Linked DNA regions of Mus musculus. The protein of the gene in region 1 interacts with the protein of each later gene in a pairwise test. Links are inferred from orthologs where the notes say so. Each region holds a gene or a part of one and is shown in the gene's direction. Other genes may lie near its edges. The genes, in order: Nr1h2, Ncoa6, Npy and Med1.

The links.
Region 2: the proteins of Nr1h2 (region 1) and Ncoa6 interact in a two-hybrid assay, tested with the Homo sapiens proteins (2 studies listed by BioGRID). The link is inferred for Mus musculus from reciprocal best matches to the Homo sapiens genes NR1H2 and NCOA6.
Region 3: the proteins of Nr1h2 (region 1) and Npy interact in a two-hybrid assay, tested with the Homo sapiens proteins (3 studies listed by BioGRID and IntAct). The link is inferred for Mus musculus from reciprocal best matches to the Homo sapiens genes NR1H2 and NPY.
Region 4: the proteins of Nr1h2 (region 1) and Med1 interact in a two-hybrid assay, tested with the Homo sapiens proteins (2 studies listed by BioGRID and IntAct, with this or other methods). The link is inferred for Mus musculus from reciprocal best matches to the Homo sapiens genes NR1H2 and MED1.

The regions. Positions count from the first base shown.
Region 1 is NC_000073.6:44,549,531-44,557,375, reverse strand, and holds Nr1h2 (oxysterols receptor LXR-beta), read left to right. Parts: upstream 1-3,410; 5' UTR 3,411-3,567; exon of another isoform or gene 3,568-3,571; intron 3,572-3,667; 5' UTR 3,668-3,797; intron 3,798-4,618; exon of another isoform or gene 4,619-4,621; 5' UTR 4,622-4,639; coding exon 4,640-4,679; intron 4,680-4,755; coding exon 4,756-4,869; exon of another isoform or gene 4,870-5,130; coding exon 5,131-5,421; intron 5,422-5,516; coding exon 5,517-5,776; intron 5,777-5,878; coding exon 5,879-6,058; intron 6,059-6,531; coding exon 6,532-6,631; intron 6,632-6,867; coding exon 6,868-7,076; intron 7,077-7,244; coding exon 7,245-7,391; 3' UTR 7,392-7,760; downstream 7,761-7,845. UniProt on the Homo sapiens protein: Nuclear receptor that exhibits a ligand-dependent transcriptional activation activity. Binds preferentially to double-stranded oligonucleotide direct repeats having the consensus half-site sequence 5'-AGGTCA-3' and 4-nt spacing (DR-4).
Region 2 is NC_000068.7:155,411,390-155,418,777, reverse strand, and holds part of Ncoa6 (nuclear receptor coactivator 6), read left to right. Parts: intron 1-2,849; coding exon 2,850-3,966; intron 3,967-7,131; coding exon 7,132-7,253; intron 7,254-7,388. UniProt on the Homo sapiens protein: Nuclear receptor coactivator that directly binds nuclear receptors and stimulates the transcriptional activities in a hormone-dependent fashion. Coactivates expression in an agonist- and AF2-dependent manner.
Region 3 is NC_000072.6:49,819,793-49,827,681, forward strand, and holds the start of Npy (pro-neuropeptide Y preproprotein), read left to right. Parts: upstream 1-2,917; 5' UTR 2,918-3,009; intron 3,010-3,805; coding exon 3,806-3,993; intron 3,994-7,696; coding exon 7,697-7,777; intron 7,778-7,889. UniProt on the Homo sapiens protein: NPY is implicated in the control of feeding and in secretion of gonadotrophin-release hormone.
Region 4 is NC_000077.6:98,188,371-98,196,290, reverse strand, and holds the start of Med1 (mediator of RNA polymerase II transcription subunit 1), read left to right. Parts: upstream 1-2,997; 5' UTR 2,998-3,207; coding exon 3,208-3,232; intron 3,233-3,384; exon of another isoform or gene 3,385-3,484; intron 3,485-7,002; coding exon 7,003-7,109; intron 7,110-7,920. UniProt on the Homo sapiens protein: Component of the Mediator complex, a coactivator involved in the regulated transcription of nearly all RNA polymerase II-dependent genes.

The DNA.
Region 1 (7,845 bases):
ATGAGTATCTGTAATCCTAGCGCTCAGGACACCGAGGCAGGAGAGTTGGAGGGCTGCCTGGGCTGTATAACAAGACCCTGGTACAAAATAAAACACAGGTGCACTCAAGTATCAAAGACCCTAGCAGGAGCTGGCAGAACCAGGACTTAGATAATGATAGAGCAGCTCAGATCCTGGCCTGGCCAGGGCCAACACCCTGTGCAAGCCTTCCTTTGTCTCCATTACCATGGAGCCACCACAGGTATGGGGAAGTCAGTTTCTCAACAGGGGCGCACTGAATCAGTCTCATCAGGCACGCAATCCTCGCCCACAATGGTAAGGACAAAATAGGTTGCGGAATAGTATGGAACACACACTCATGTGTAGCTGTCTTTGCCTACTTTGTGGGTTCTTCCTTCTTCCACTCTTCACCCCCTTTTCTTCCACCCTGGGCCAATCTCCTAACACTAGGTATGAGAGAAAAAAGGATAGAGGGGAAAGAGATCCCTGAATAAAGTCAGGAGTGAGAAAGGGGTAACGTTATTGTTAGACTACTTCCTGTTGATTAGGGTTATCGAGTTCCTTGGGGCAAGTTTGATCTTTGAACTCAGGATATCTAATTTCTTCTTTGCCCTCGACTACTTAACAAACTGCCACTGACAACAACCAGTCACCAGTCCACCTCTGGGGGCCCTAGCATTTATATACGCTCTGAAAAGTTCCCAGAATTCTAAAGACTATACAATTGCAGAAACTATCTGCAGCTGGCAAAACCATGCCTCTGCTAGAGCACCAGGCAAGTCAGTCAAGTGTTTCAAACAGCCCCACATCCCCACGCCTTGGACTAAAACAAAAACATGTTGTATAATAGTTCTATGTTCTTTTAAAAACCAAGATTCCAGACTTCTCAGTACACTCATTCACGCACACAGGGATAAAAGTGGTTGGGTCATTTGCTTTGAGGAGGTGCTATCCGCCGCCCCCCCCCCCCCCCGGGCTCAGAGGGCCTCGGGAACCAGTCCAACCTCAGATAACCTCAGTGTCCTAGAGGACACTAAGTCATATGTTTAGGTTTGGAGTGGGGAGCAACCCTGCTTCCAGGGCCAGCATCTCAGTGAATTCAAACAGTATGTGACAATTTACTAATATAATGTATATTAAATGTAAACATAAACACACATACATATATAAGTGTATAAATACATGCTTAATGAAAAACAGTGAGCGCATGACAGGTCCCAGTTATGGCAGAGGAGGTTTATTGTAGATATAGGGAAGAGACCATCCGGAGGCATTTGTAAGAGTCCAGACTGAACTGGGCCAACAGAATAAACCGGGCCATGGGGTCAGGGGTGAGAGAGGGAGGATGGGGGAACCAGGACACAAAGAGGACCAAGAGAGCTAAGGGACATGTAGCCAAAACAACTGGATTATGTGGGAATGAGAATCTTGGGGAAAAGGCTGAGGGTAGGGGTAACTATACACTAACAGGTATTGGTGATACTGAGAGGGACTGGCGCCGAGTCCACATATTAATATGCACCTCAGCTATCCGTCCAGGCTTTGGCTTTTGTTTGTTTGTTTTGAGACCTATCACTTATTTCTGAAAAAAAGCATGGGTTAGTGGCTGGGTCTCAGGACCAATTTTGTTGCATGACTGAGGTAACGTAGGCTCCAGCCTCAACTTTGTAAGAATTTGTTAGATTATCATAGCATGGCACTTTTAATCCCAGTACTCATGAGGCAGAGGCAGGAGGATCTATCTCTGACCTGGAAGCCAACCTGGTGTACATAGAGTTCTAGGACAGCTAGAATGGCGAGACCATGCTTTTAAAAGGGGGTGGGGGTTAAACCAGGTAGTGGTGGTATGCACTTCTAATCCTAGCACATGGGAGGCAGAGGCCTTGGCCAACTCTCTTAGGAGATGAAGGCCAGCCTGGTCTACAGAAGCAGTTCTAGGACAGCCATGGCTACACAAAGAAACCCTGCCTTGCAAAACAAACAAATCAACAAGAACAACAGTGGCCGGGCGGTGGTGGCGCACGCCTTTAATCCCAGCACTTGGGAGGCAGAGGCAGGCGGATTTCTGAGTCCGAGGCCAGCCTGGTCTACAAAGTGAGTTCCAGGACAGCCAGGACTATACAGAGAAACGCTGTCTCGAAAAAACCAAACCTAAACAAAACAAAACCAAAACAACAACAACAAAAAACAAAACAAAACAAAACCAAGAACAACAGCAACAAAAGTTAAGTAAAAGCAAGAATTTGTGCTTAATAAAGATTCCCAACTGTCCATAAGTGGGGAGTGCGGAGAAACAATCTCTGAATGTTTTCCATCTGAGATTCACACAAGTATTTCAATCTTTTGTGAAAAAGCTGGTATTATTACTTTTATGGGAGAGGGGTTGAGGCTACTTGTTTATTCACATTTAGCTGATGGCCAGGTCTCACTTCCTAGCTCAATTTGGCTTCCAACTAAAAGCAATCCTCTTGCCTTGCCTGGGTCTGTTTGCTTATTGCAGGCATGGGTCTGCACCCAATTTGCCTTTTTTATATTTACTTCTTCCTATTATGAAGCTGAATGCAAAAATAAATTCTTGTATAAAAAAGTTCCTGGGCTGGAGAGATGGCTCAGCAGTTAAGAGCACCAATTGCTTTTCTGAAGGTCCTGAGTTCAAATCCCAGCAACCACATTGTGGCTCACAACCATCCGTAATGAGATCTGATGCCCTCTTCTGGTGTGTCTAAAGACAGCTACAGTGTACTCACATATACATAAATAAATAAATCTTAAAAAAAAAAAAAAAAGTTCCCGAGGCGGGGACATCAAGAGAGTCCAAAGTGAACAAGATCCAGAATCAGGACATGTGAGGAGGAGGAGAAGGAGAAGGAGAGAGAGGCGAGCCAGGAGAGTAAAGGACCCAGTAACCAAATCGGCTGGATTATAAAGGGAAGGGCAGCCCAAGCCCTGAGCTGGAGAAGTTTAAGGTATGAAAAGCCTTTAAGCTTTTTAGGCTTAAAACCATCCTGTAACCATCTTGCCATCTCCAAATTTAAAATATTTAGAACCAACATACAGGGCTGGAAGAGGAGCTGCTACCGCAATAATGGGGAGGTAAAGGCAACAGGCTCAGAAGTTTAAGGCCACCCTTGAAATAAGAGATCCTGTCTCAAAATCAAGACAAAAATTTTTTTAAAAAGCAGCCATGCAGCACCGCTACAAAAGTAGAGAACTTTAAACTACTCAAAAAGGTTAAAACCTGCTTCGTTAGCCACCTGCGAAAAGAAACGAAAGAACTTTCCGGAACTTTTTTCTGAGTCCCAGAGGGGAACTACCAGAAGAAATAAACTTCCGGTGTGCCACTTCCGGCCGAGGCCTCACAGTCGGTGGCGCCCTGGCAGACCGGAAGTCTGTCACCTTTCCCGGTCCGCCTACTTCCGGAAGTGACGCGCAGCGGGGTTGCCGGAAGAAGTGGCGAAGTTACTTTTGCTTTTCGCTCAGCAAGCGCTGTTGCTTCGAGCTACTCCCAGGCTTCTGAAGTTACTTCCAAAGTGCTGTGGAGGCACAATCACCGGTGCGGACACAGAGGCAAGTGCGCCGGGCGGCCGGGCAGGTGGGACTGAGCCCGGTACGCGGATCGCCGTGGGTCCCGCTTAGCGCGCGCATCCTTCCCTCACTTTCCTCGCAGCTCTCGCCTCCCACGGCCGTTTCCAGGGCAACAGAGTCGGAGACCCCCTGCGACCCCCCTCCCGATCGCCGGTGCAGTCATGAGCCCCGCCTCCCCCTGGTGCACGGAGAGGGGCGGGGCCTGGAACAAGGTGGGCGTGACTCTACGGGGCGGGGCGTAGGGAAAGCCTATGGTTGGTGGGCGGGGGCGGGACACAGATGGGCAGAAGGCCTGCTGTAGATAGTCTGTGATTAAAGGCTTTTGATTCTTGGGGCGGGGCCTAGACCACTGTTGGGGGGGATTGGGAGGGGCAGAGGCATGGAGGGCGTGGCACAGTGAAGACCTATAATTGGCTTTGGGGGAATGAGAGGGGCGGAGCCTAGGAGGAACGGGGCGGAATTTGGGTTTCTGCTCCAGAGTGGGAAGGGGTGGGGCCAGGGACTTGATGGGATGGGTAGGGTCTGGGGTCTGTATTGGGGTGCGTTAAAGCCTTGAAGGAGCCTATGGTAGAAGGGTAATGGTTGCGCCCTGATGGGAGAGGCGGGGCAAAGTTAGGATCTCCCATGATAAGAGCACAGTTGGTGCTCACAGAAGAGGAATAGAGTTGTTGGGCTCTCTGAGGTCATGATTCGTAGAGAGGTGGAAGGAGCAGTGGGCCGGGTTGGGCATGTTAAAGTGTGTGATGTTTATTAGGAACTAGGGCTGGGAGTGGGGGCTCAATATAGAAGTTAAAAACACTGAGGTGTGGCACAGTCTTGTAATGGCAGCACTTGAGAGGCCGAGGCAGGAGTGCGGAAGATCCCAGGACAGCCTAGAGTAGTGTGTTCCAAGATTTTGGAGGTGGTTCAAGCTGTTCAGCCACATAGTTCGGGTAGCCTGAGCTGTATGAGATCATGTCTCAAGAGTCCGTGAGCACTGGAAGAAGAGACACCCCTATTATGCCCTGTAATTGGCTGGCTCCCCTATGTTCAGCAGGCTGCTTCGTGACCCACTATGTCTTCCCCCACAAGTTCTCTGGACACTCCCGTGCCTGGTGAGTGACGGGCTTTCCCTAGCCAGCCCCTTCCACAGTGTTGGAGAAGCTCACTGTCCTGTCTTCCTTTTCCTAGGGAATGGTTCTCCTCAGCCCAGTACCTCCGCCACGTCACCCACTATTAAGGAAGAGGGGCAGGAGACTGATCCTCCTCCAGGCTCTGAAGGGTCCAGCTCTGCCTACATCGTGGGTGAGATGGGGAGACAGGAACAGGGGTGTGGGGCTTTGTGAAGGAAGGGCGGGGAGATGGTGGCCCCTGTCTTTTGGTCCGCTTTCCCTTCCTTTTCTCCCTGACACCGCCGACTCGTCCTCCGGAGCCCGCCGACCTGCAGATCTTTCCCTTGGCGTTGCAGCCCCGTCCTCTCACCCTCGCTTCGGGACCTCCCATGGCCCGTTCCCCGGCTGCTGTTTCTCTTTGTCGCTATCTCTCATGGCATCTGCTCACCCCAAGTCATCTTAGAGCCAGAGGATGAGCCTGAGCGCAAGCGGAAGAAGGGGCCGGCCCCGAAGATGCTGGGCCATGAGCTGTGCCGCGTGTGCGGAGACAAGGCTTCGGGCTTCCACTACAACGTGCTCAGCTGTGAAGGCTGCAAAGGCTTCTTCCGGCGCAGTGTGGTCCACGGTGGGGCCGGGCGCTATGCCTGTCGGGGCAGCGGAACCTGCCAGATGGATGCCTTCATGCGGCGCAAGTGCCAGCTCTGCCGGCTGCGCAAGTGCAAGGAGGCTGGCATGCGGGAGCAGTGTAAGCAAGGGGTGGGGCTAGAGGGAGAGCGGGTCACCTGCAAGGGGAGGTGTAAGTGAGGCTGAGGCCCGCCTCTGAGGCCGGCTTTCCCGCAGGCGTGCTCTCTGAGGAGCAGATTCGGAAGAAAAGGATTCAGAAGCAGCAACAGCAGCAGCCACCACCCCCATCTGAGCCAGCAGCCAGCAGCTCAGGCCGGCCAGCGGCCTCCCCTGGCACTTCGGAAGCAAGCAGCCAGGGCTCCGGGGAAGGAGAGGGCATCCAGCTGACCGCGGCTCAGGAGCTGATGATCCAGCAGTTAGTTGCCGCGCAGCTGCAGTGCAACAAACGATCTTTCTCCGACCAGCCCAAAGTCACGGTATCGCCCTGCCCGGCCCTGTGGACAGAGCCCACCCAGGCTAGGGAGGGGTTTCCTAGGGCGTGCGAGTCCCCCACGTGACCGTGGTCTTTTGTGTCCCAGCCCTGGCCCCTGGGTGCAGACCCTCAGTCCCGAGATGCCCGTCAGCAACGCTTTGCCCACTTCACCGAGCTAGCCATCATCTCGGTCCAGGAGATTGTGGACTTTGCCAAGCAGGTGCCAGGGTTCTTGCAGTTGGGCCGGGAGGACCAGATCGCCCTCCTGAAGGCGTCCACCATTGAGGTAATAACTAGGCTCTAGGACGAGACCAGAGCTGAACATGGTACAGGCATGTCCTGACCCTTGTGGGGTGTAGTCAGCTGCAGGGTCCCATCCAACAAGGTATCTGGAGCCTCCAGAGAGCCAGCCAGGGAGAAAAGGGAAATGGGCTGAGGTAGAGAATAACGGAGGATATCAGATGGGCTGTTAAACAGGAAAATGACCCAAAGACTCCAAAGGAATGGATATTGGAGCCAAATCAAGGATAATGAAGTATTGAGAGTTAACTGTGTGCAGAGTTCTGAATGCTAAGAATTAAACCTCTAGCCTGGGCCTCACGGTAATGTGGGGTTAGTGGCCTTGGATGGGGCAGTGGGTGATAGAGTTGAAGGAAGGAAAGTTAAGAATGTCTTACCTGGCAGAAGGGTGGCAGCCTGCTGGTCTTGGCACATTTGACTCTGGGGCAGCTGAAGAGCCCTGTACCTTGTCACCTCCAGATCATGTTGCTAGAAACAGCCAGACGCTACAACCACGAGACAGAATGCATCACGTTCCTGAAGGACTTCACCTACAGCAAGGACGACTTCCACCGTGCAGGTCTGTGGAAGGCACTGACTTGGTCCTGGGGTTTCTGCCCCGTTGGCCCTCCAGGCCAGGCAGGCACTGGCAAGGAAAGATCATGTTTAGCGAGGCCAGATGCATCGTGTAAGAGGCACTCACAGGGTCTGTGTGGGGCGGAAGCCGGAGTAACTGTCACAGGCTGTCCTTCCTTCCCCTTTGAGTGCCCTGGGACCAGGGTCCGGTGTGAAGCTGGGCTGGGGCTGCTCTTGCAGGCTTGCAGGTGGAATTCATCAATCCCATCTTCGAGTTCTCGCGGGCCATGCGGCGGCTGGGCCTGGACGATGCAGAGTATGCCTTGCTTATCGCCATCAACATCTTCTCAGCCGATCGGCCTAATGTGCAGGAGCCCAGCCGTGTGGAGGCCCTGCAGCAGCCCTACGTGGAGGCGCTCCTCTCCTACACGAGGATCAAGCGCCCACAGGTACGGGAGCTGCCTGTTGTATATGAGCAGTCTCAGTATTGGGGTCCAGTGGCACATGTTGGGCACACTGAGCCTGGGGCCTGACCACTCAGGGTGCTGGCTTTCCAGACAAAGCTGGCTTTGCAGGACAGGGCCCCAGCAGGACCGACTTGCCTCCTCTCCCTGCAGGACCAGCTCCGCTTCCCACGCATGCTCATGAAGCTGGTGAGCCTGCGCACCCTCAGCTCCGTGCACTCGGAGCAGGTCTTTGCATTGCGACTCCAGGACAAGAAGCTGCCGCCCTTGCTGTCCGAGATCTGGGATGTGCACGAGTAGGGGCAGCCACAAGTGCCCCAGCCTTGGTGGTGTCTTCTTGAAGATGGACTCTTCACCTCTCCTCCTGGGGTGGGAGGACATTGTCACGGCCCAGTCCCTCGGGCTCAGCCTCAAACTCAGCGGCAGTTGGCACTAGAAGGCCCCACCCCACCCATTGAGTCTTCCAAGAGTGGTGAGGGTCACAGGTCCTAGCCTCTGACCGTTCCCAGCTGCCCTCCCACCCACGCTTACACCTCAGCCTACCACACCATGCACCTTGAGTGGAGAGAGGTTAGGGCAGGTGGCCCCCCACAGTTGGGAGACCACAGGCCCTCTCTTCTGCCCCTTTTATTTAATAAAAAAACAAAAATAAAGTTTGAGTACAAGCCATTCCTGAGCCCAGTGTGGAGAGGGTGGGCCATCTCTCTGCCCAGGTGACTGCGCTTGGTCTAGGTTCAGGCCACAGGGGTAGGGG
Region 2 (7,388 bases), on another chromosome or scaffold:
CTTTCTCTTCAATTTCAAACACATAGATACACTTTAGGGGTGATGATTGAAATATGGAAAATAAGTTATTTCTCAAGAATCAAGAAACACCTTTGGAAAGGAAATGAAACTTTAGTTAGAACAGGAGTCACATATGCACACACTTTCTTTCTATAAAGGGCCGATAGTAAATAGCTTAGATCATTTGAACTGTATTGCAACTATTGAGTCTGCTTAGTGAGGCAATAGTGCTCCCACTCCTTTCCTGTTTCCAAACCAGCATGGCCTGCCTTGCTGACCGGAGATTAGAGCATGTGGAGGCAAAAGACGTTTCTGGGAAAGGAAACCATAAATTCATGGGTATGTAGATATATGGCATGTTTGAACATCTTCAACTCTTAAAATCTCTATATAGTACATATTAGCTTCATTTATGCTGAATGCCTAAATTCTGATATGCAGTGTGGCTTTTTTCCAATTTAATCAGTACCAATAGTATAGTATATATAAGAAAGTTTGGAAAGGAAATAACATATAGTAGATTGGTTAATAAGTACTCTTCGAAGCAGCTTTTAAAGCCCAAATTTCATGTTGCTGGGTTTCTTTTGTTTGCTTAGGAATTAAGTGACTAATCTTTTTGCCCTTTCTCATTGAAGTAGTTTACACTAAGTTAGCTTAAAATTTCCTGAACTTCCAATGTTCGTTATAAATTGCTTAAAGAATGGGAAAAAAATCTAGAGCTCACAAGATGTTTCAGCAGGTTAAAGTGTTTGTTCTGGCCTTCCTTGCCAATGGGAATATTTGCCTACACTTTCATCACATGCACACACAATAATAAGTAAAAATTTAATTTTTTAAGAAATAAAAATGAGAGACAAGTGATGGCTTACTCCAATTTCAGGGGATTCCACAGGCACCAAGCATATATGTGGTGTACAGACATATATAGGCAAAATACCTGTACACATAAAATAAAAATAATTTTTTTAAAAATGTATAATTCTTCCACCCTAGCACAGCTATTTACTTTTTAAAGGAAGACTTCCATGTTTATCTGTTGTTTTCATTTCTCCATCTGGTCTGTTTAAAGCAGTTCTCCTCTCGTCTATCATTTTCTGTTGTTACCTGTCTTAATGTTCTGTTAACTTTTAATACTTCCTGAAAAAATTAGTTTTTAATCTCTTGCCTCTTAAACCGTTTTATTGATACTAAATCAGCACTAGATTTAGTATCAATAACTGAATAATCCTAACTGCTATTGGATACTGAAATAATTGTTGCTTGGATGACTGTATACTTGTATTTATAGTGTTTATGGAGTTCAAGTTTGACTTTATGAGGCTGGTTTAGAAAGCCTTTCTGAAACTCAGGAAGAAGTGTGATGTGTAACCAGTGGGCAGTTTATGCTTCTCTCTCAAGCTAGAGCATGGACTGGTCTGTAACTTCATTAGATTGCCACTTTATAGCTCCTATTTAAAGTTATAAAAAAAAAATCAGAGCTAGGACAAGGTTCGATAGTTAAAGAGCTTGCTGTGAAAGCATGAGAACCACAGTTTGGATTCCAAGAAGCCACATAAGCTGAGAGAGTGTGGCAGCTACCCACAATCCCAGGGGTTGGGAAATAGAGACCTGCACAGACCACACATATTCAAATGTGCATAACACGTACACACCATGCATGTATACATATATACACCAAAAATGACAGGAACATGCATTCAAGGTATATATAGCTCAGTAGTAGAGTACCTTCCCAGCTTATAAGAGGCCTTAAATTCATCGGTTTTATTTTTGGTGTTTTGAGATAGGATCTTACCATGTAGTTTAGGCTGCCCTTGAATTTATGACAGTTCTATTGCCTCAGCTTTCCAGGTGCTAGCATTACAGACATCGGCCACTATGCCCAGCTGAGAAAACTTTCAAGTCAAGCATAGTGGTACAGTTCAAGGCAGTGGAGCACACAGTTTCAGAGCAGCCTGCTAATATCGATGTCCTGTCGCAACAGAACAGACAAAATAAGCCAGATGGTTTCTCAGTTGAAGTGGGTGGGGTAGATTGTGAATTTAACTCCAGTAGACTTCATTCTAAGTATATAGAAGGTTGTGGGTTCGATGTTCAATGCCACAGTAAGATTTGGAGATAAAGCAAGTAGCTATAGGAAAATTCCAAGGCTCTAACAATAAACAATTCATCTGGCCAGACAGTACCAACAGTGCCTTTGGTTGAAAGAGAACTTAGAACAAGTCCCATATGGTCCAGTAGGGACTGTCACAGAGTAGGATCACTAAACTTTCAGCATCTTCCTGTTTCTAGGTCTCTTAAGCAGAGGTACCCTGTCCTTAGGCTATACTGTAACTATCTTCTTTAAAGCACAGCATCCAGATCTCACACACATAGTCTTTGAAAGGCATAATTACTTTTCAAAGAAGCATTTTTGAAATGTCTTTTCTGTGTTCCTGAGTTTTTTCTAGAGGACACTGGTACATTCTTTGTTTCCCTTGTTTACTCATAATGAGGCTCATTTTCTAGCCCATGATGGTTTTTAAGTTTTATTCACAGTAAGGTAGTTACAAACTATGCTATAAAACTGATAATACTTCATTTAATATGAAAGTAAACTTTATTTTCTAATGTTGTCTTTAAGTTACTATGTAAAATAAAGACATGTTTTTCTTAGTGTATGAAAATGTAAGCAATTACCCCCACCCTATATCATACCTCCAGAGTCTAAAATACTCACAGAAAGTGTGTTAAACATGTGCATTTATGTTGGTTATTATGTATATGTATGATAGGTGCCTTTCTAAGTAATGTAATTGGAGTACCTTAATATGATGATAATTTTTTGTTCTTTGGTTTTGTTTCTTAAGGTGGTCAAGGAGCTGGTCCTCCTCAAAACCAGATGCAGGTGTCTCACGGGCCACCAAATATGATGCAACCCAGCCTCATGGGAATTCATGGCAACATAAACAACCAGCAGGCTGGTAGCTCTGGGGTTCCTCAGGTGACCCTGGGCAACATGCAAGGCCAGCCCCAGCAAGGCCCACCATCTCAGCTGATGGGCATGCACCAACAGATTGTGCCCTCACAGGGCCAAATGGCCCAGCAACAAGGAACTTTGAACCCTCAAAATCCTATGATCCTTTCAAGGGCCCAGCTTATGCCACAGGGCCAGATGATGGTGAACGCTCAAAACCAAAATCTTGGACCTTCACCCCAAAGGATGACCCCACCCAAGCAGATGCTTCCCCAGCAGGGCCCACAAATGATGGCACCACATAACCAGATGATGGGGCCTCAGGGGCAAGTTTTGCTCCAGCAGAACCCAATGATAGAGCAAATAATGACCAATCAGATGCAGGGGAATAAGGCGCAATTTAACTCTCAGAACCAATCCAATGTCATGCCGGGACCAGCACAAATAATGAGGGGACCAACTCCGAATATGCAAGGAAACATGGTGCAATTCACAGGACAGATGTCAGGACAGATGCTGCCTCAGCAAGGACCTGTGAACAACAGTCCATCTCAGGTTATGGGGATTCAGGGGCAGGTTCTGCGGCCACCAGGACCCAGTCCACACATGGCCCAGCAACATAATGATCCAGTTACCACAGCAAATAATGATGTCAACCTGTCTCAGATGATGCCTGATGTCAGCATGCAGCAAGCCAGCATGGTCCCCCCACATGTGCAGAGCATGCAGGGAAACAGTGCTTCGGGAAGCCACTTCTCGGGCCATGGAGTGTCTTTCAATGCACCATTTGGTGGTGCACCCAATGGAAGTCAGATGTCTTGTGGTCAAAATCCAGGCTTTCCCGTCAATAAAGATGTAACGTTAACGAGCCCATTGTTGGTCAACTTACTACAGAGTGACATTTCTGCAGGCCATTTTGGTGTAAACAATAAACAAAATAATACCAATGCAAATAAACCGAAGAAGAAGAAACCGCCTCGGAAGAAGAAAAATTGTCACCAAGATCTAAAGTAAGTTATGATCAGTTTACCTCAAATGTGACTCAGTTGTTTCTGTGTGGATATTTGTTGACAGATTTTTGTTTTGTTTAAGATTTATTATTTATTTTATGTATATGAGTACACTATATATAGCTGTCTTCAGACATACTAGAAGAAGGCATCGGATCCCATTACAGATGGTTGTGAGCCACCATGTGGGTGCTGGAAACTGAACTCAGGACCTCTGGAAGAGCAGTCAGTGCTCTGAACCACTGAGCCATCTCTTCAGCCCTTTGTTTTGTTTTTAAGACAGGATTTCACTGTGTAGCCTTGGCTGTCCTGCAACTCACTCTGTAGACAGGTTGGTCTCAAAGTCACAGGAGATCTGTCTGCCTCTGTCTCTTGAGTGCTGGGATTAAAGGTGTGCACTACTCCCTTAGCCTGAAAAGTGACCAGTGATATCCCACTGCCATTCTATAGAGCACAGACTTGAATGTTATGCTGGCTGTTGGGGTATTCGGGGAATGTGTTTGCTGAAGCAAAACTGATCGTGAAGACACCCTGCATCTAGCCAATAGGGGAAAAAATTTTTACATGTGTGCTTTTTCTCTAAAAATCTCTTACCGTCCCTAAAAGCTTCAATCAGTTTCCCTTATGTAAAAGTTCCCCAGAGGAGCTCTTTCATAAAACACAACAGGAAGGATAATTAACAATTATGTTTCATATCCTAAAACTACATATTAAGTTATGTTTCTGATTTTTGGCTAAGTGTTTGTGGTAGATTTTCAGTCTTTAATCATTAAAATGAGTTCAGAGACATTATCAACAGGGACTAGTGACTGGTGACTACAAAACAGTTTGAGATAAATTGCTAGGCCAATTATGGTGGCTCACACTTGTTATCTCAACACTCAGGGAGCTGAGACAGGAGCCTAGCTTGAGCTACCTAGGGAGACCTCAGAGAGAAGGGGAAAGATGGAATGGGGGAACTAGAGACAGAAAGAAAACTCCAACAGGGGAGCTTTGTCTAAATGAGCTTAAATGTTCAAACTAACTCCAGCTGCCTTTATCCAGGCTTTTCTACAACGTGCTTTGGTTTTAGTCTATCACAGTAACTTGCTACTTCTTGAGTCTTAAATATTAAACGTCAGTCACTATATATTAACAGCATATATTTTCCTGAATTCAGACTTATTTTCCTTATACCTCAGTTAAATTCTTGCTGTTATCAAGTTGTCTGGCTTACCCCACCCCACCCCTACCCCTAATGTGAGTGCACTGCAGCTGTCTCAGACACACCAGAAGAGGGCATCGGATCCCATTACAGATGGCTGTGAGCTACCTCTGGAAGAACAGCCAGTGCTCTTAACCACTGATCCATCTCTCCAGCCCTATTAACCTGTCTAAATAACATTTTTTTTAAAGATTTTTATTTATTATTATATGTAAGTACACTGTAGCTGTCTTCAGACACACCAGAAGAGGAAGTCAGATCTTGTTACGGATGGTTGTGAGCCACCATGTGGTTGCTGGGATTTGAACTCTGGACCTTCGGAAGAGCAGTCGGGTGCTCTTACCCACTGAGCCATTTCACCAGCCCTAAATAACATTTTTTATGGTAGTAATTATCTTATTCCCCTCAGTATGCTAGAAATAAAATTATACTTATTCATTTGCCATTAGTATGTTTTTGCTGTCTTCACCAGCCTTCTGGTGAATTGTTGATTCAACACACTTCTAAAAGGGTCTTAAACAGCATCAGGCAGGGCTCCTAAGAAAGAGAGGCTTAGGAGGAAGCTAACCTACCTCCAGTTCTACCATTATCTTACCATGAAACCTGTCTTAGACTATTAGTGTTTCTTTCATTGTTTTAGCTATAAAAAATTTTTAAGTGAAGGATACCACAAAATCTTCATTTATAATTTGAAATAACTGGAAAGTTATATAAGGAACAAATTGGCATAGTGATTTGGTTGTCCTTAGGACCTGTTAAATGCTTGGGGGGGGGTCTCTTATTGTTTATGTGTGGGTATTTTGGCTGCGTGTGTCTGTACACCACATGCTTCTGTATCTGATGCTACCGGAGGCTAGATAAGAGTGTCAGGTCTCCTGGATCTACAGTGACAGGTGGTTATGAGCTGCCATGGTGATGCTAGGAATTGAACCTGGATCCTCTGGAAGAGCAGCTATAGCTCATAACCTCTGAGCCATCTCTCCAGTCTTATGCTGCTGCTGCTGGTGCTGTTTTTTAAAGGAATTTGATGGTTTATAAAACTATACAGAGTGTTATGGGACAAAATACTGTTTACAAGGGGGTGACCATAATCAAATCAAAGGGAAATTAGTTTAGGAAAGGAAGATACAAATGGGAATAAAAAATAAACCAAATGAGGAATATAAGCACACTGGATCCTCAAAAATGTGGGCATGAGTAGGAAAAAAAGAATGTTTTCATTTTTTTCTTTCCCACTAGAATTCTTTTTTTATTTTTTATTTTTTGGTTTTTGTTTGTTTGTTTGGTTGGTTGTTTTTTTGAGACAGGGTTTCTCTGTATAGCCCTGGCTGTCCTGGAACTCAGTTTGTAGACCAGGCTGGTCTCGAACTCAGAAATCTGCCTGCCTCTGCCTCCCGAGTGCTGGAATTAAAGGCGTGTGCCACCACGCCCGGCTTCCCACTAGAATTCTAAGTTACAGAAAGAATCCAATGGTTAATGTCTCCAAGTCTTCGTTCCACAGCAAAGCTAAGTAGCTTTGTTGTGGTATTTTCCACCTTTATTGTTTGAGTACCGTCTCCATCCAGTTGGCAGACATGTAAAGTTACCTTAGGCTGCTGAATCCCTGGCATCTGGGTTGCATTAATAGCTACACTGGAGTCGGTATCACAGGAGTGACACTGCAGAGTACTGGAAGCTCAGAGTCCTGCTCAAGCTAACATCAAAGGTCATTATATAAAACATAGTATCAGGAATTAGAGAGTGACACTGAGTAAGGACACTGCTAAGATTAAATGAACTGTAAGGTTTAATGAAATGGCCAGGTTACTCTTATGTCACTAGTAAGAATCCAGACTAGAAAGATACAAATAATGGTAAGAGCAATATATAAACACATTGTTGTTGTTTAAAGTAGGAAGAGGTTGCACTAGATTCCTGTGTTCCTTATACAGCTTACTCAATCTGTGCTACTTGTGTTTTAGCACCCCAGATAATCGTCCAACTGGTCTAGAGGAAGTTGATCAACAGTCATTACCTGGAGAACAAGGAATCAACTTGGACACCACAGGCCCCAAACTGCCAGACTTTTCAAACCGGCCACCAGGTAATAAGATACTAGCTAAAATTATAAACTTTGCACTGCATATACACCTTTACAAGGCTTCTTTCCTTCCGTCAAACAATAATGCTCTCTGTCTACTAACTAGACTGCTTCAGGAATATACTGTGCAAGCACTGC
Region 3 (7,889 bases), on another chromosome or scaffold:
AGAAAACAAAATTAACCCTAGACTAAAGCCAGCTTGGCCTCCTCAAAAAAACTGAAGCGCAAGGTGCAACTTGCCAGAGTTTTCATCCTTCCAGAACAAAGCCCAAGTGTTTATAGGGACATATAAAAAAGAGTCCAAGGGCCAACAATGTAAAATCCACAGTCTCTGAAGTCCTATCAAAGATGATGAAGAAGAGGGAAAATGCAGGTCATCATGTGGTGGGAAGCAATCCAAATACAGCAATTGTATGGATGATAGAAGTTATTGATTATGCATATCAGTCTGGGCCTGACAGCACAGGCCTGCAATCCTAAGACTTGGGAGACTGAAACAGTTATTGGGAGTTTAAGGTCATCTTAGACTACATATGGAGAACCTATTTCAAATGTCAAAATAATAGTAATAATAATGATGTGTTAAAAACCTAGAATAAAGAGTTGACATGATGGGTATTAAAGAGACCCATATTGAAATTCTAAAGATGAAAGTTATATTGTCTAAGGTGCGAAATCACTGAATAAAACTGACAAGGATCGCATATTGAAACAGAATAAATGAAGTAACTAAAGATGTAGCAATAGGAACTGGCCAAAATAGAATGAAAAAAAAAAAAACAAATCAAAATAGACTGGCAGTGACCTGTGGGATGGAGCTAACGTCAGTTGATGACTTGATGTTTGTTCCCCTATGGGAAATGACTGCTTACATCAACACAGTGACTTATCAATCAATGCCCTTGCAGAGTTAGTCACAGTACAAGCTGGAAGGAACCTGGGATCTAGGAGAAGCTGAGTTGGTTCTTGAAGTTGAGGGGTGTCTTAGCATGGAAATGTGTCAACGGTACAGTGTGTGCTGTGGACATTTGGGTGAGTCTTAGCTTAAGGGTGTTGGATTAAAAAAAATTAAAAGCACAGATGAGAAGCTATTGTGGAGCTGGGCTAGATATGCAAACAACTCTGTATGTCAGGAGACAGACCCATGGAGGAAGGGAACCGGGAGTAGCAGGAGAGGGCACTGTCAGAGGGATGTCAAAAGTCCAGGAGGTGATGAACCTATGTTCTTTATGGATTCGTGAATGTGTATCCAAGGGAATCTTTCAAACATCCGAAGCTTCTTAGTATATTTTATTGATAGTTTAGAAAAGCTATTACAATGAATGATCACGCATATAAATAAAAAGTCAATGAAGTTGACTTTGGAACAAAGGAGAGAGCCAGCAGCTAGGACACTGCTGCTTTGAATGACGTTTGATTTTGTTTGTTGGGGGAGAGGTTGTTTCTATGAGCTACCAATGATTTCAGGAAGCCACCAAAGGAGTTAATTGATGGAGTGGTATCAGCAGAATGTTGAGAGCTCAAGGCCAGATGATGCAGCTTGGACAACAAGGAAGAGAACAGTGTGACATCCTGGGCACACCCTCCCTTGACTTTATTTTCCAAATGCTGATGGGAAAAGTTCTTGTTTTCAAGCACCGACATTATAAAGGAAGTGAATCAGATTCCCAGAGTCCCTGCTCAAAAGTGGTGCCCCTCCCTCGCGCCCTAAGGTGTACTTTCTCCGAGATCCTGTGACTCCTGCTAAATCCAGGCTTCAACTGATGTGAATCTCTGATTCACTACAAAAATATAATTACATTATTGAACAGTAGTGTGTGCCTTCCTCCTTATCAGAGAGGACTTGTTAGATGCTTTGCCTTTTATCAAATGTCCTCATGTGGGCACAAAAGCAGCCCTGACAGCTCAGTGTTTGTGGCCCTGGTGCAGGTTTCTGACGTAGGGAAAGTGAAGTCTTCCAGCTGCGAGGGATATTGTTGTTCTGGTTTATCATTCGATCACATAGTCTCTCTCTCTCTCTCTCTCTCTCTCTCTCTCTCTCTCTCTCTCTCTCACTCTCTCTCTCTCTCTTCCTCCCTCCCTCCCTCCCTCTCTCCCTCCCTCCCTCTCTCCCTCTTATTAGTAGTCAATTTAGCACTATTTAAACAACCCGCAAAGTGACACTCAAACGAAATCATTTAGTTTAGCTTTAAAATAACGCGTAAATTCCACTTTAGCAATGGACCATTTCACTTAGATTCAAACTTCCAGGGGCACTTACTCAAGCGTACCTTGTAAAAATCCCTATCTGGTAAACATAACTTCAATATCGTTCATATTTATTCAACAAGTTTAACGCGACAAGCACACTGGTGTTGGTTTTTTAATCTGCTCCATTTCAATCTGAAAGCAAGTGCTCATTCAGACGCTAACCAAGCTCACTCGGGACTTCACAGGGTTTACAGACAGGGGTGCGAATCGCCGCCACTTTCCACTCTAGATACAGAAGCTCATGGACCGCGGGCTCCCAGTGGCAGCCTCGGGGAGTTTCTGGCTGAGGCCGAACCCGGCTAGCAGCGTTGGGGAGAGTGCTTGGGGGAGGGCCCACCTTTTGGGGAGACCAGTAGATCCAATGGGTCTATGGAAGCCACTGGGACCTTGCGGTCCCGCACACCTGCACCGGGAGCGGGAAAAACCTCGCTCGCCTGCCTCCCTCCCAGAGCGCGCAGTTATCCCGCGGGCCCCAGATATGCTCCCCAAGTAGAATATTCAGGTCCCTACAGACCCGCACGCAGAGAGCTGACAATTCCCGCGACAGGCAACCTAAGCGGTCCCGCTTCATCTCCCTAGCGGGACTCGACGGTCGGGGATAGAGAGAGGGCTCCGAGGGTGCTCACTCTTGACTGTTCCCTTCTCCCCGCAGAGCGGGCCGCTTAGAATTGGGGTGTGGGTGGCTCCAGACGCCGCCACTCGAGCGGCAGTGGCTCCAGCCTCCTCCCCCGCCGCTGGGGGCGGGAAGTGGCTGTGGGAGTCACCCGGGCGTGACTGCCCCCGAGGCCCCTCCTGCCGCGACAAGGGCGCTCCATAAAAGCCTGTGGGCGACCCGCTCTCCGCATCCCACCGGTGGATCTCTTCTCTCACAGAGGCACCCAGAGCAGAGCACCCGCCGCTCAGCGACGACTGCCCGCCCGCCACGGTGAGTGCCAGGATCAACTGGGACAGGGGCGCGGGCTCCCAGACGCCAGTGAACTTGCCCCGCAGCCGGTCCCCTGAGCTTGCTCTGCCAGCTTGACACCCAGCTCTTTGGGGCGCCTAAATTTCACTTGCTGGACTCAGGTTCTACTGTCCACCTGCCCTTCCCCGGGACCCTCCAATCTGGGCGCCCCGCCTCCGTGCCTCTTATCTTTTGAGGGTAGGGAGAAGAACCTGGGAACACCTATCCCAGGGCAGCGGTGGGGTTTTGTTTGGTTGTTTGTTTGTTTGGTTGGTTGGTTGGTTACAACCAGGAACCCAGATTGCATGTGTGCTCCTAGTGGGAGATTCCCCCAAGTATTGTCTCTAGCACGGTGAGCTCTGTTGCCTCCAAAATCCGAACTGAGCCTCTGGGTATCCGACTGTCACAGCGCTTGTAGCCACACAAATCAAAAGCAACCCAGAAGAAAAGTTTTCTCCTCCAAGGGTGATTTAGGAACGAGAGGAGAAAAGTGGTCATTCTTTAAGATAGAGGGCAGAACTTCCAATTCTGTTCTGAAAAGGGGACCTCTGCCTCTCACCAGGAGAATCGGAGGAAGTTTTCTGAAATATGTGGACGGGGCAGAAGATCCAGGTCGGGGCAAGTGGTCTTCTAAAGATTTGGAAGTGGCGCCTGCCCAGTCTGGGCTTTTATTCTAGGGTCTGGGATGGGATTAGATGAGGGTCTAGAGTGATAGCTGGAATTGGGACAAAGACGAGCAATCTCAGCATCTCCAAGTCTGAGCCTTCTGTATCCACAGATGCTAGGTAACAAGCGAATGGGGCTGTGTGGACTGACCCTCGCTCTATCTCTGCTCGTGTGTTTGGGCATTCTGGCTGAGGGGTACCCCTCCAAGCCGGACAATCCGGGCGAGGACGCGCCAGCAGAGGACATGGCCAGATACTACTCCGCTCTGCGACACTACATCAATCTCATCACCAGACAGAGGTGGGTGCATACGCGGCTGGTACCTAGAGCCGGGAAAACTTGCGGTTCTGGAGATCTTGGACATCAGGGATCATTTCTTTCTCCTTGTTCATAGGGCAGGATCAGACATAAATTCAGCTCTAGATAAATATGTGAGCTGGGTACACACTCCACAAACTGGATACATTGTCTTTGTCACTAGACTTTCTCTCCAAGACCCAAGCCCAAGGTTCAGTGCCTCTAGGCTGTCCTCTGTCTGCCACTTACCTTTCCTGCCTTTTTTGCTTACATCAGTTGGAGATTTACCCAGCACATATCTCGGGGGAAAGGCCTGCATTGGGCAGGGGTGCAGAAGTGTAAAGGTGTAGGGAGAAGAGGAACCCTGATTTAGAGTAAACAACCACAGTCAAAGAAAACCAAGGACACAATCCAGCTGTCAAAAGGGTGGAGAGATCTTTGAGCCTGCCCAGGGCAAAGGGAGTGGCTGCATTTAGGGAAATAAATAAATAAATAAATAAATAAATAAATACCATGGGCTTCTTCTGAACTAATAAAAAGGCTGACTTTTCCCATTTTATAGCAACTGAGTTCTGAAAAGAAAGTGCCCCATTAAGAAGAAACAAAAGAGAACAAAGCCTTTACATTAGGGACTCTGATGGCTACAGCTCCAACTGCCTGGGACCTGAGAGACAGACCACAATCTGTACTTTTAATGTCCAGAAAGTCAGAGGCGAGCCTTGCCTTTCCTCTCAGCATTAAAATCAAGCAGGAAAAATAAAATCCACGCTATTTTACAAACAATATGGGACTTAGTCTGCAAAATTGGTGCATCTTAGTTCTAAATCATTTAACAACACATTTCAATTACTGAGAATTACTGAGAACCTTGAAGGACCATATAGGCAAGCCCTTTGGAGGCATTAATGTTCTTTACTTAGCATGTTTCAATTATGCATAGTAGATTTCCAGAGAGAGGTTAAACTGCTCGCGACCCAGGGGATGTTTGGATGGGATGCAAAAGGGAGGTTGTGCTTCTAAAACAGTTGTGTATTCTTAATTTCATCAGAAAGGTATGTGGCATTCTGAAAGCCCTCTGGGGAAAACAATCCCAATGTATACAGAATTGCTTAAGTAATACAGGCTCATAATCTTTTGAAATCTGACCATTTTGACTAGCAAAAAGCAATTGTGTTTTTGAGCCTAATAAAAAGACTTCCCAGAAAGTCAATGACTTCAGGTTTGTTTGTTTCTTTTTTTAATCCATACAGATCAAAAATAAATTACACAATTGAAATGATAGCATTATCAAGATTTATGTATGTATTTTATGTATAGCATTCTGTCTTAATGCAAGCCAGAAGAGGGAATCAGATCCCATTACAGATGGGTTGTGAGCCACCATGTGGTTGCTGGGAATTGAACTCAGGACCTCTGGTAGTTAAGCCAGTGCTCTTAACCACTGAGCCATCTTTCCAACCACAACACCATGGTTTTTGTTGTTTGTTTATTTTTGGTTTTGTTTGGCTGTTTGGTTATTGTTTGTTTTAAAAAAACAAACTTTATTATTTAGATACGACATATAGAACTCTCTCTCTCTCTCTCTCTCTCTCTCTCTCTCTCTCTCTCTCTCTGCAAAGACTGCTGCTATATGACTTTGCCTCAGTGTATGGAATGATCCCATTTCATGTTTCTCTAGTCCTCCCATTCAGTCTTTTCTTCAAAACTTTGAAGTGAATTTCATTGTCTCCACTTTGCAGATCACAAAGCTAAGGACATTTTAAGAAAGCTTTCTTGGGTTATGGAGCTAGAACCCTCTGCTGAGCTTCTGTGGATGGGACCACATCATTAACATTCAATGGAATCTCCACCATCTTTGAGGGGGGGGGAGAAACAACAGGGAAAGGGGCTTGCATGTCACAGGAAGAAAACCTGGTTCAATTCTGAAAATGAACCTGTATCATCCTGGTAAAAGTTATCTTTAGAAACCACAAGAAGCTCCATTTGTGCACTTGTTGACTTTCCACCAAAGATTCATGCACAGAAGTCCACGCCTTTGAAAATTACCGTGTTATGTGTGACTGTTTTATCTATAATTATTCTCTTCCTTCCTTCTGCCAGACCTGTTTGTAACTGTTCTCCTGTAGCTGTGCATGCTGCTGACTTACTGCCTCAGCAGGCCAAATCATTTGTTCTAGTCTATGGGTCTTGTTTGTGTGGTTCCTTAGAACAGTAGCTCTCAGGTGGAGGTGAGTTTTACTCCCTAGGACATACAGCAACGTTGAGGGGAGACTGTTTTGGTACAACCAGAAGTGAGTGCTGCTGGTATATAGTGTGGAGCTGTTAGAGAAAGAGCCCTGAGCCCAGCCACCATTTGGATAAGTCTTATGAGCATGCAGAAACTGCCACAATACAGGGAGAATTTTGACTGGAAAATAGGGAAACCACTTGCCTGTCCTTTTGACTCTCTGAAGCATAATAGAGGTAAATGAATTCAGGTTGGTTGCCCAAAGTGTGAAGATGAACAAAATCAACGGAAGGGCAGGTTAACCAAGTGCAAGCCACCAGCTCGAGTCTAATCTTGCAGAAAATCTTAACAAATGATGTGAGCGTTGGGTGATGAGGATGAGCATTGTTTGCTTTTGCTCCCCTTGAGTCTCAGCACAGGAGCAATGAGAAATCTCGCCAACGTATTTGGATTTAGTTCTGCTGGGTTGGCACTTAGAACAACATCTGTCAGCTTTGTCCAGCTGTTGTGCCTATTTGTTAATCCATCTGGACCAGGCCAAGTTTTCATTTGGAAATGGAGTGGCTGCTGATGTTCCACGCCTTTCCAGTGAATGGAGAAAATTGTGTAATTAGCTATCAACTTGTCAACACCCTTAGCAGTGTTCTGTAGCAGGTAGTTTATTTTATCTTTACAGAGGAATGTAACCTCAGGTCCATATATTGTCCTTACCATATCCTACTATTTCTGTTGGCCAGTAGGACCCCATCATGCCTCAGGGAAAGCATTAGTGTCTCCAACAGAGAGGGGAGAGTGCAAGATCCAGGGTATGTCGGGATGTGTAAGGGGGGAGCAGTGATGACCGGGATGTAAGTGTGGGTGCACTCGGGCAGCAGCTTCATTTGTGCATCACTGATGACCTGAGTTCAATCCCCAGAACCCAGGGAAGAAACAGAACCAACTATGACTTCCATGAGCTGGGGGAAGAGGTATGTGGGAGGGTTTGTAGGGAGAAATAGAAGGGGGTAAATGAAGTAATTATAATATAATTTCAATAATAAACTGTATATAAAGTACTTCAGAAAAATTAAGTATATGTAACCTTTAAATTGTATCTGTTTAGCGAGTGCGTGCATGTGTGTGTGTGTGTGTGATGTATGGATGCACACACTTGCACATGGAAGTCAGAGGATGCTTATCCAGAGTTGGTCTCTCTATTCCCTCTTTGGGTTTTGGGAATTAAACTGAAGTCATTAGGCATGCATGGAAAGAACTCTTACCTTCCGGACCATCTTACCTGGTTGTGTGTATATGTGTATGCATATATGTGGTCATGATAGAGTTGCTGATGACATATGCTTCACACTCTGAGAATACTTATTAGCACATGAACGACTGGGAATAACATTTGAGTTTGGTGGGACACTTTCCCTCTCTCTCCTATGGTTACCCCTAAGCTTACTTTATAAAAACCTTGATTTTACTTTCTTCATGTTTCAGATATGGCAAGAGATCCAGCCCTGAGACACTGATTTCAGACCTCTTAATGAAGGAAAGCACAGAAAACGCCCCCAGAACAAGGTATGACAAAGCCTGGGATGGAGATGTTACTACAGAGCTTATGATGCCAGTGGAGGGGAGCTAGGGGAAGCTGGTGGGAGTCTGTGTGGACATTAGGATAGCAGCATCCAGA
Region 4 (7,920 bases), on another chromosome or scaffold:
AGGGTTAGACCAACCGAGGCTCCTGCAAAGGACACTCTCAAATGTGTTGAGATGCCCACAGGCTGTGCCGTGTGCTTCAGGTTCCCATGCTGGGTGGGGCCTTGGTCATGCAGCTGTCTTTGAGTCATTTTTGCTCCTGTAAGTATCCCTAATAAAACTCATTGGTTCACGAAGTTGGACTTTCACCCTACCTTGTAGTGAGCTAGCTACCTATCTGGGGGTGAGAAGATGTGTGTGTTGCATTTCCCCAGGAAAGTGTGGTCACACAGTAGCATCCCTACACACATCACAAATACAAAAGCACACTAAGACCGTTTCCAGATATTCACAAAGATCTCTTCTTACTAAATGTGTGCTGCTGGTTCTGCTTTTGTGAACCATGCTGTCTGTTAGGATGGCTTTGGGAAATGTTTGACTAGCCTTTGGTTGGTTCGTTGGAGACATCTCACTATGTAGCCCTGGCTGTCCTGGAACTCACTTTGTAGACCAGGCTAGCCTTGAGTCTCCCTGTCTCTGCCTCAGCAGTGCTGGGATTAAAAGCCTGAATAGCATTTTAAAAAAATTTTTTTTTTTTTTGAGGGCTGCAGAGATAGATCGCCCAGTGTTTAAGAGCACTGGGTGCTCCTCCAGAGGTCTTGAGTTCAATTAGCAACCACATGGTGGTTCATAATCATCTATAATGTGATATGATGCCCTCTGTGGCATGCAGGTATACACACAGATAGAGCACTCATATCCATTAAAAAAATTTTTTTTTGAGACCAGGTCTCTCTACATGAATCTGGTTGGTCTAGAACTTGGTGTGTAGACATGCTGGCCTCTCTGTCACAAATCTGCCTACCTCTGTCTCCAGAGTTCTGCGATTGAAAGTATTCGACACAACCTAGGCAGCAGTGGCACACCCTTTAATCCCAGCACTCTAGGCAGAGGCAGGAGGATCCCTTAGTAGGAGGCCAGCCTGGCCTACAGAGCAAGATCCAGGACAGCCAGGGCTACAGAGAGAAACCATGTCTCAAAAAAAAGAAAGGAAGAAAGAAAGAAAGAAAGAACAAATGAACTACACTAAGATCAGATCTTTTACTCACTGTTGAAGTTTATTCTGATTGTTTCCAGAGGTCATGAACGTCTCAGAATTACAGAAATTGTGTTTGTGAAGATTTATCAAGACATTGACTGAAGATGTTTTTTGTGATTCATATTGTAGAGAGTAAGTTAAACGTGTGTTTTCACTGGTGTTATAAAAATCAATGATAATACATAGTAGAATCAGAAAAAAAAAAGTTCTCTAACCTAAAATCCTATGTAGTCTTATAAAATGTATAAAACTGAATGAAATAGGTTAGACTTGCTTCCAGGGTGTGTAAAAAGCACCAGTACTGGAGTGTAGGTGCTGTGGTGCTGAACATAAGCAGGATGAGGAAGCCGGTGGATCTTTGTGAAGTCAGGCCAGTCTGACCATGCATCCAGGCCCCGAGCAGCCAGAGCTACAGGAGCCCTGTCTCAAAACCAATAAGACAAACAGCAACAAAAGCCTAAAGTACTGCGGTCCTCTTTTTAAGAATTTTAGATATTACTTTAACAGTTTCTGTGCTTGATATAGGTTAAGTCCTTATTTATTTACTATAAATTGTGCATTACCTCTGTACAAATGGGAAACAAATTAAGCTCAATTTAGATCAATATACTGTTAATTTCTGTACAGAGCCAAGCTCAACATGGTAAACGATGATAATGTTTTCCAAAAATCATCTTCTTTGTGTGTGTGAAGTCATTCTTTTTTTGTTTTGTTTTTGTTTGTTTGTTTGTTTTGTTTTTTGGGTTTTTTTTTTTTTTTTGGTTTTTCGAGACAGGGTTTCTCTGTGTAGCCCTGGCTGTCCTGGAACTCACTCTGTAAACCAGGCTGGCCTCCAACTCAGAAATCTGCCTGCCTCTGCCTCCCTAGTTCCTTTCTTTTTCTTTTATTTATTATATATATATGTATGTATGCGTGTATATGTGTATATGTATGTGTGTGTGTGTGTGTATATATATATACTGTACCTGTCTTCAGACACTCCAGAAGAGTGAGTCAGATCTCATTACAGATGGTTGTGAGCCACCATGTGGTTGCTGGGAATTGAACTCAGGACCTCCTGAAGAGCAGTCGGTGCTCTTAAATTAACTGAGCCATCTCTCCAGCCCCTTCTTTCTTTTTTTTAAACAACATAACTGCTTCTGGTTCTTCAGGAAATTTCACCTTCCCACTTTCTCTAGGAATTAAACCCAGGACTTCAGACATGCTAATCAGGTATGTTGCTGGTGAGTTACAAGTCTTGTCATCTTACAAATCTTACTTTTTTGTTGTTTTGTTTTGTTTTTGTCCAGGCAAGGTTTCTCTGTAGCCTTGGCTGTCCAGAAACTTTGTAGACCAGGCTGCCCTCATACTCAGAGATCTACCTGCCTCTCCCTTCAGAGCGCTGGGATTAAAGGTGTGCGCCACCACCAGGCAAACTCTAAACACCCAAACACTAAAACTCACTGGAAATCTTTCAGTAGAGATTATTTTGTAAGGACCGGTTTTCACTATCCCCTTCCTCATTGGGATTATAGGAGTGTGCCACTTTTCCAGGTGCTCAAAGAGCAAACATTTTGTTTCGTTTGAGACAGGGTTTCTCTGTGTAGCCATGGCTGTCCTGGAACTCACACTGTAGACCAGGCTGGCCTCGAACTCAGAGTTCCGCCTGTCTGCTGGGATCAAAGGCTTGAGCCGCCACCACCGCGGGACGGAAGAGCTAACGCTTTTAATTTACAAATTGTGTAACTGTCGGGATGCAAACATAAACTTTCAGAGAGATGTCAACTCTGGGCACACACCCTTAGACGCCAAGGTGTGAATTCTGAGCCAATCGGAGCCGGGCCTGCTAGAGATCCTGCGGGGAGGACGAAATCAGCCAACCTCCGCGAGACTTTGGTGCGGTTCCTTCTTCCTCCGTCTCACAGGAACACGATTAATCTCGCGATCTTTGGGAAGTTCCGTTGGGGAAGATGGCGGCGGCCGCGAGCACCCTTCTCTTCTTGCCGCCGGGGACTTCAGACTGAGCCTTCCCCGGAAGAGTCGGGGCCGCTGGTGCGCCGCTTCCCCGGAGCCCAGGCTAACTTGGTTCCCCTCTGAGTGGCGGGGAAAGGCTCCCCGGCTCGTGGCGGACCCAAGACCTCCCCGCTGTCAGGATGAAGGCTCAGGGGGAAACCGAGGGTGAGTGACTGGGGGGTGGCGGGGAAGGAGGGGCGGTACACCGCTGCGGCGAGCCAATCCGAGAGAGGAGGTGGGGACCCACGCCCCTCCAGGGCCACCGTGCGTGGGACCGGATCCTGGTGGAATGTGCATCTTAGATCCCGACCGAGCCCTACAGATGCTGGAGCGCCTCCTCCGGGGCGCTGCTCCCCCGTCTCCTCCACTCGTGAAAGGTTTTCTGCGGGACGAGGGACGAGGAAGTTGAGCCTCAGGGTACTTTGAGCTTAGCCCGGTGGGACCCAAGGAGAGGGAAACTGAAACTTGTTGATGCTTTGTTCCAGGAGAGATCGCTGAAGATGACACTAGAACAATGTAATGTCAAAGTAATGGAGGGTGTTTTAGCCGGAGTGACTTGCTTGGTTCGATCTTCATCATAGTAAAAGCGGGCCGTTTATTACTTGGAAGGTCATAGTGTTCAAATACTGTGCTGTGTCTTTACGAACTGCTTTCAGTTGTGCACGACCGGTGGCTTTAAAGCTTGGGGGAGAGGTGTTCAGAACTATAAACTGGCAGGAACAATCCCCAAACCAGTTTCCCAGTTGAGGGAAGAAAAGGGAAGGGATAGAATCTTCTTTGTTTCTTGAGACAAGGTCCCCCTGCCTCAGCCTCCCAAGTGCGGGCTTACACACCTCTCGGCCAGCTAAGAGTTTGATTCTTGGTTCAGATACTCCCTCCCACGACCTGGACTGGCTTATCCAAAAATGAAGTCTCGACATTTGTAGCAAAGTGGACGATACTCAAAATAAGCCATATTAAGATAAATAGCACATTTTCTCTTATGAGGAATCTCGACGTAGGTATGTGTTGGTGTGTGTTGGTTGTGAAAACATGGGACCATGTGGGAACAAAGGAGGTCTGCAGGATAGAAAGGTTAGTGGAATATGAAATGAAGTGAGAGGTTTGGCTGTTTGGAGGTTGGGGCAGTGTGGCTCTCAGAGGGAGAGGACTTGGACCAAGTATAATGGCCTATATGTATAAGAATGCCAAAATGATATGCATTGCTTTGTATGTTAATTTAAAGATAATTTAGAGGCTGGGAATGTAGAGCAGTGGTTAGAGTAATGTCTTCTTGTCCATGGGTTCAATTCCCAGCACCAAAAGAAAAGGAAAAAGGGAGCCAGGTGTGGTGGCCCACAGCTTTAATCCCAGCACCTGGGAGGCAGAGGCAGGCGGTTTCTGAGTTCGAGGCCAGCCTGGTCTACAGCGTGAGTTCCAGGACAGCCAGGGCTACGCAGAGAAACCCTGTCTCCAAAAACCAAAACAAAACAAAACAAAAAAAACCCCTAATTATTTTTTTTTTAAAGATTTTATTTATTATATATGTAAGTACACTGTAGTTGTCTTCAGACACTCCAGAAGAGGGTGTCAGATCTCATTATGGATGGTTGTGAGCCACCATGTGGTTGCTGGGAATTGAACTCAGGACCTTCAGAAGAGCAGTTAGTGCTCTTAACCTCTGAGCCATCTCTCCAGCCCTAAAACCCCTAATTATAATAACGTCTTCCTTAAATTGTGCTCCAAGTATATCCTTCAAGGTGTTGTGAGCCCAAGGGTCCAGTGAGAAACCCTGTCTTAAAAACTAACACGCAAAGAGCCAACTGGTGATGGTTCCTGCCTTAGTCCTAGCACTTAGTAGAAAGAGGCAGGTGGATCCCTGAGTTTGAAGCCAGCCAGACCTACAAAGAGACAAGACAGCCAGGGAAGCTCTGTCTCAGCCGTACCTCATAGCGGCACACACCCATAGGAGGCTGATGAAAGGAGACAAGAGGATGCCTTAGAGCATAGTCTGGGCAAGCCTGGGAGGTGACCCATGTTTATAATCCTAGCACTTCATAGGTAGAGGTAGGAGTATGAGGAGGTCACCACTTACATTTCTTTACTAGGAGGTAGGGCATCTACCATATCCACTGTGGGCTCTGGGGCGTGAACCCAGACTCTCATGTTTGGCATTGCGGGTGCCTCTACTCTTGTAGCCATCTTGTCAGCCCTCAAGGTCATGGTCAGCTGGGCTGTGAGAGACTGTCTCAAAATGGAAGAAAAAAAGCAGGGAGGTGGCTGGAGATCGAGCTGAGGGTTTAAGAGCCCTGTGCTTTTGGCATAGGTTCAGGTTTGGTTCCCAGGAAACACATGTCCACGTAGCAACTCACAAGCATTTGTAACTTTAGTTTCAGGAGTCTCGGTGTCTTCTGGCCTCCATGAGCACTGCACAGACATGCCACACATCCATGAGTCAAAAAATCAAAACAATAACAGCAACCCTTCCCCCAAAAAAACCCAAAAAAATGCATACCCAACATATTTTTTTTTGAAATAAAGAATATGTATTTCATGTGTATGGTGGTTTTATCTCCCTGTATTTCTGTGTACCAAGTACATGCCTGGTGTCCTTAGAACCCAGAAGAGGAGAGCAGATCTCCTGGGACTGGAGTTGCATGTGACTGTGAGCTGCCATGTGGGTGCTGGGACTTGAACCCAGAACTTCTGAAAGAGCAGCTAGTGCTCTTTAAAGGATGCATTGGGCATTGTAGAACTGTTTTGATGCCAGTACTTAAGAGGCAGAGGCAGGTGGACCTTTATTTGTTCAAAGCCAGCCTTTTTAGACCCTAACACCAGATAAAACAACACAATGCATCGGGGCCTGGAAGGTCCCATGTACTCATGGTGAAAGGTGAGAACTGGCTGCAGAAAGCCATCTTCTGATCCCCACAGGCACTGTGGCCAGTTTACACCTGTGTTCACACATCACAGACAGCCGGGCATGGTGGCCACGCCTTTAATCCCAGCATTTGGGAGGCAGGCGGATTTCTGAGTTCGAGGCCAGCCTGGTCTACAGAGTTCCAGGACAGCCAGGGCTACTCAGAGAATCCCTGTCTCAAAAAAACAAACAACAACAAAAAAAGACATCCTCACACAAATAATAAACACAGTCTGGTTTGGTTTCTAGTAGTATTTTCAATGTTCGTTTTATATATGTGGATGGTTTGTTTGCATGTATGTCTATGCATCGCATGTGTGGCCGTGGAAACCAGAAGAGGGTGTCAGATCCCCCGGAACTGGAACTGGAGTTAGAAATGTTTGTGAGCTGCCATGTGAATGCTGAGAGTCTCACTCAGGTCCTCTGGAAAAGCAGCAGGTGCTCTAACCACTGAGCCATTTCTCCCTTGGTTTTTATTGTTGCTGTCTGTTTTAAGACAGGGTCTCATTATGCAGACCAGACTGGTCTTGACATGACAAAGGTATGACTGCTTCTGTCTCCTGAGTTTTAAGATACAAGGTGCATGTCACCGTGCCTGGCATAAAAATAAAATTTAAAGCTATCTTCTAAGCTGGACACAGTGTGTACCTGTAGTCACAGTGACTCACGAGGCTAGGGCAGGGGCATTGTCGGTGCTGAAGACTCCAAGGCCAACAAAATGGACAACTTAGTAAGATTCTGTCTCCAGGAAATTACGTTAGACAACCTTGTGTGTTGTGTATATATTTGAGACTTCGATTTCCTTTGTAGCTCAGGCTAGCCTTGAATTTACAAACCTCCTGCCTCGGTGTCTCCAGTGCACGGATGGAATTTATGGGTGAGCATTTTCCTAGCTGGCTTTCTTTATGTTTTGGAGTACATTTATATAAAAGTGCTTTGACAGTTCCTAAGTGAAATACAGGGGTTCTTTTGTAGGAGAAACTGTGGAAGTCTTGATGTCAGAGTGTCTAATGGTGGTTTCTGCTTTCCGTCGTAGACTCAGAGAGGCTGAGTAAGATGAGCTCCCTCCTGGAACGGCTCCATGCAAAATTTAACCAGAACAGACCTTGGAGTGAAACCATTAAGCTTGTGCGTCAAGTAATGGTGAGTATTGGGAAGGTACTGAGAATTACTGCCCAGTTGTACACAACTCATGCTGAATCTTTAAAGGATGCATTGGGCATTGTAGAACTGTAGAAATATCACTTTCAGTTATGTCTAAAGAAATTAATTAAAAAGTACTTTGTAAAAAAAAAATATTTAAGAAGCTAGTTGCCAGGCCGGGCTTGGTGGCTCACGCCTTTAATCCCAGCACTCGGGAGGCAGAGGCAGGCTAATTTCTGAGTAAAAAAAAAAAGGAGAAGCTAGCTCCCGAATGCGCAAGGGTTGCTAGATCCAATGCTGTGTCCGTGCTTTTACTCATCACAAAACAGCATGGTGGTGTTGATTTCCAAGGCCAGCTCAGGAAGAATGTGCCTTAGGAAGGAGGTAGCTTGAATTCCCATCCACAGAGGATTTATTCTAGGACCTCTCACAGATCAGAGGCAAGCAGGTATCTGAGTTCAGGGCTAGCCTAATTTACAGAGTGGATTCCAGGTAAGCCTGGGTGACACAGAGAAACCCTGTCTACAAACAAACAAAAAGGCATTGTCTTTGCACACTATTTATAAACATTCTCCTATATACTTTAAGCCAATCTTTACATTACTTACAACGCTTAACAATACAAATAACATGACTATTTGTTATGCTGTGATGTTTACTGTCAGTACAGAACAGTATTCTTTTCCTTTTTAAAGATTATTTATTTATTTCATGTATGTGGGTGCACTGTCTCTGTCTTCAGACACACCAGAAGAGGGCTTCAGATTCCATTACAAATGGTTGGGAGCCACCATGTGGTTTCTGGGAATTG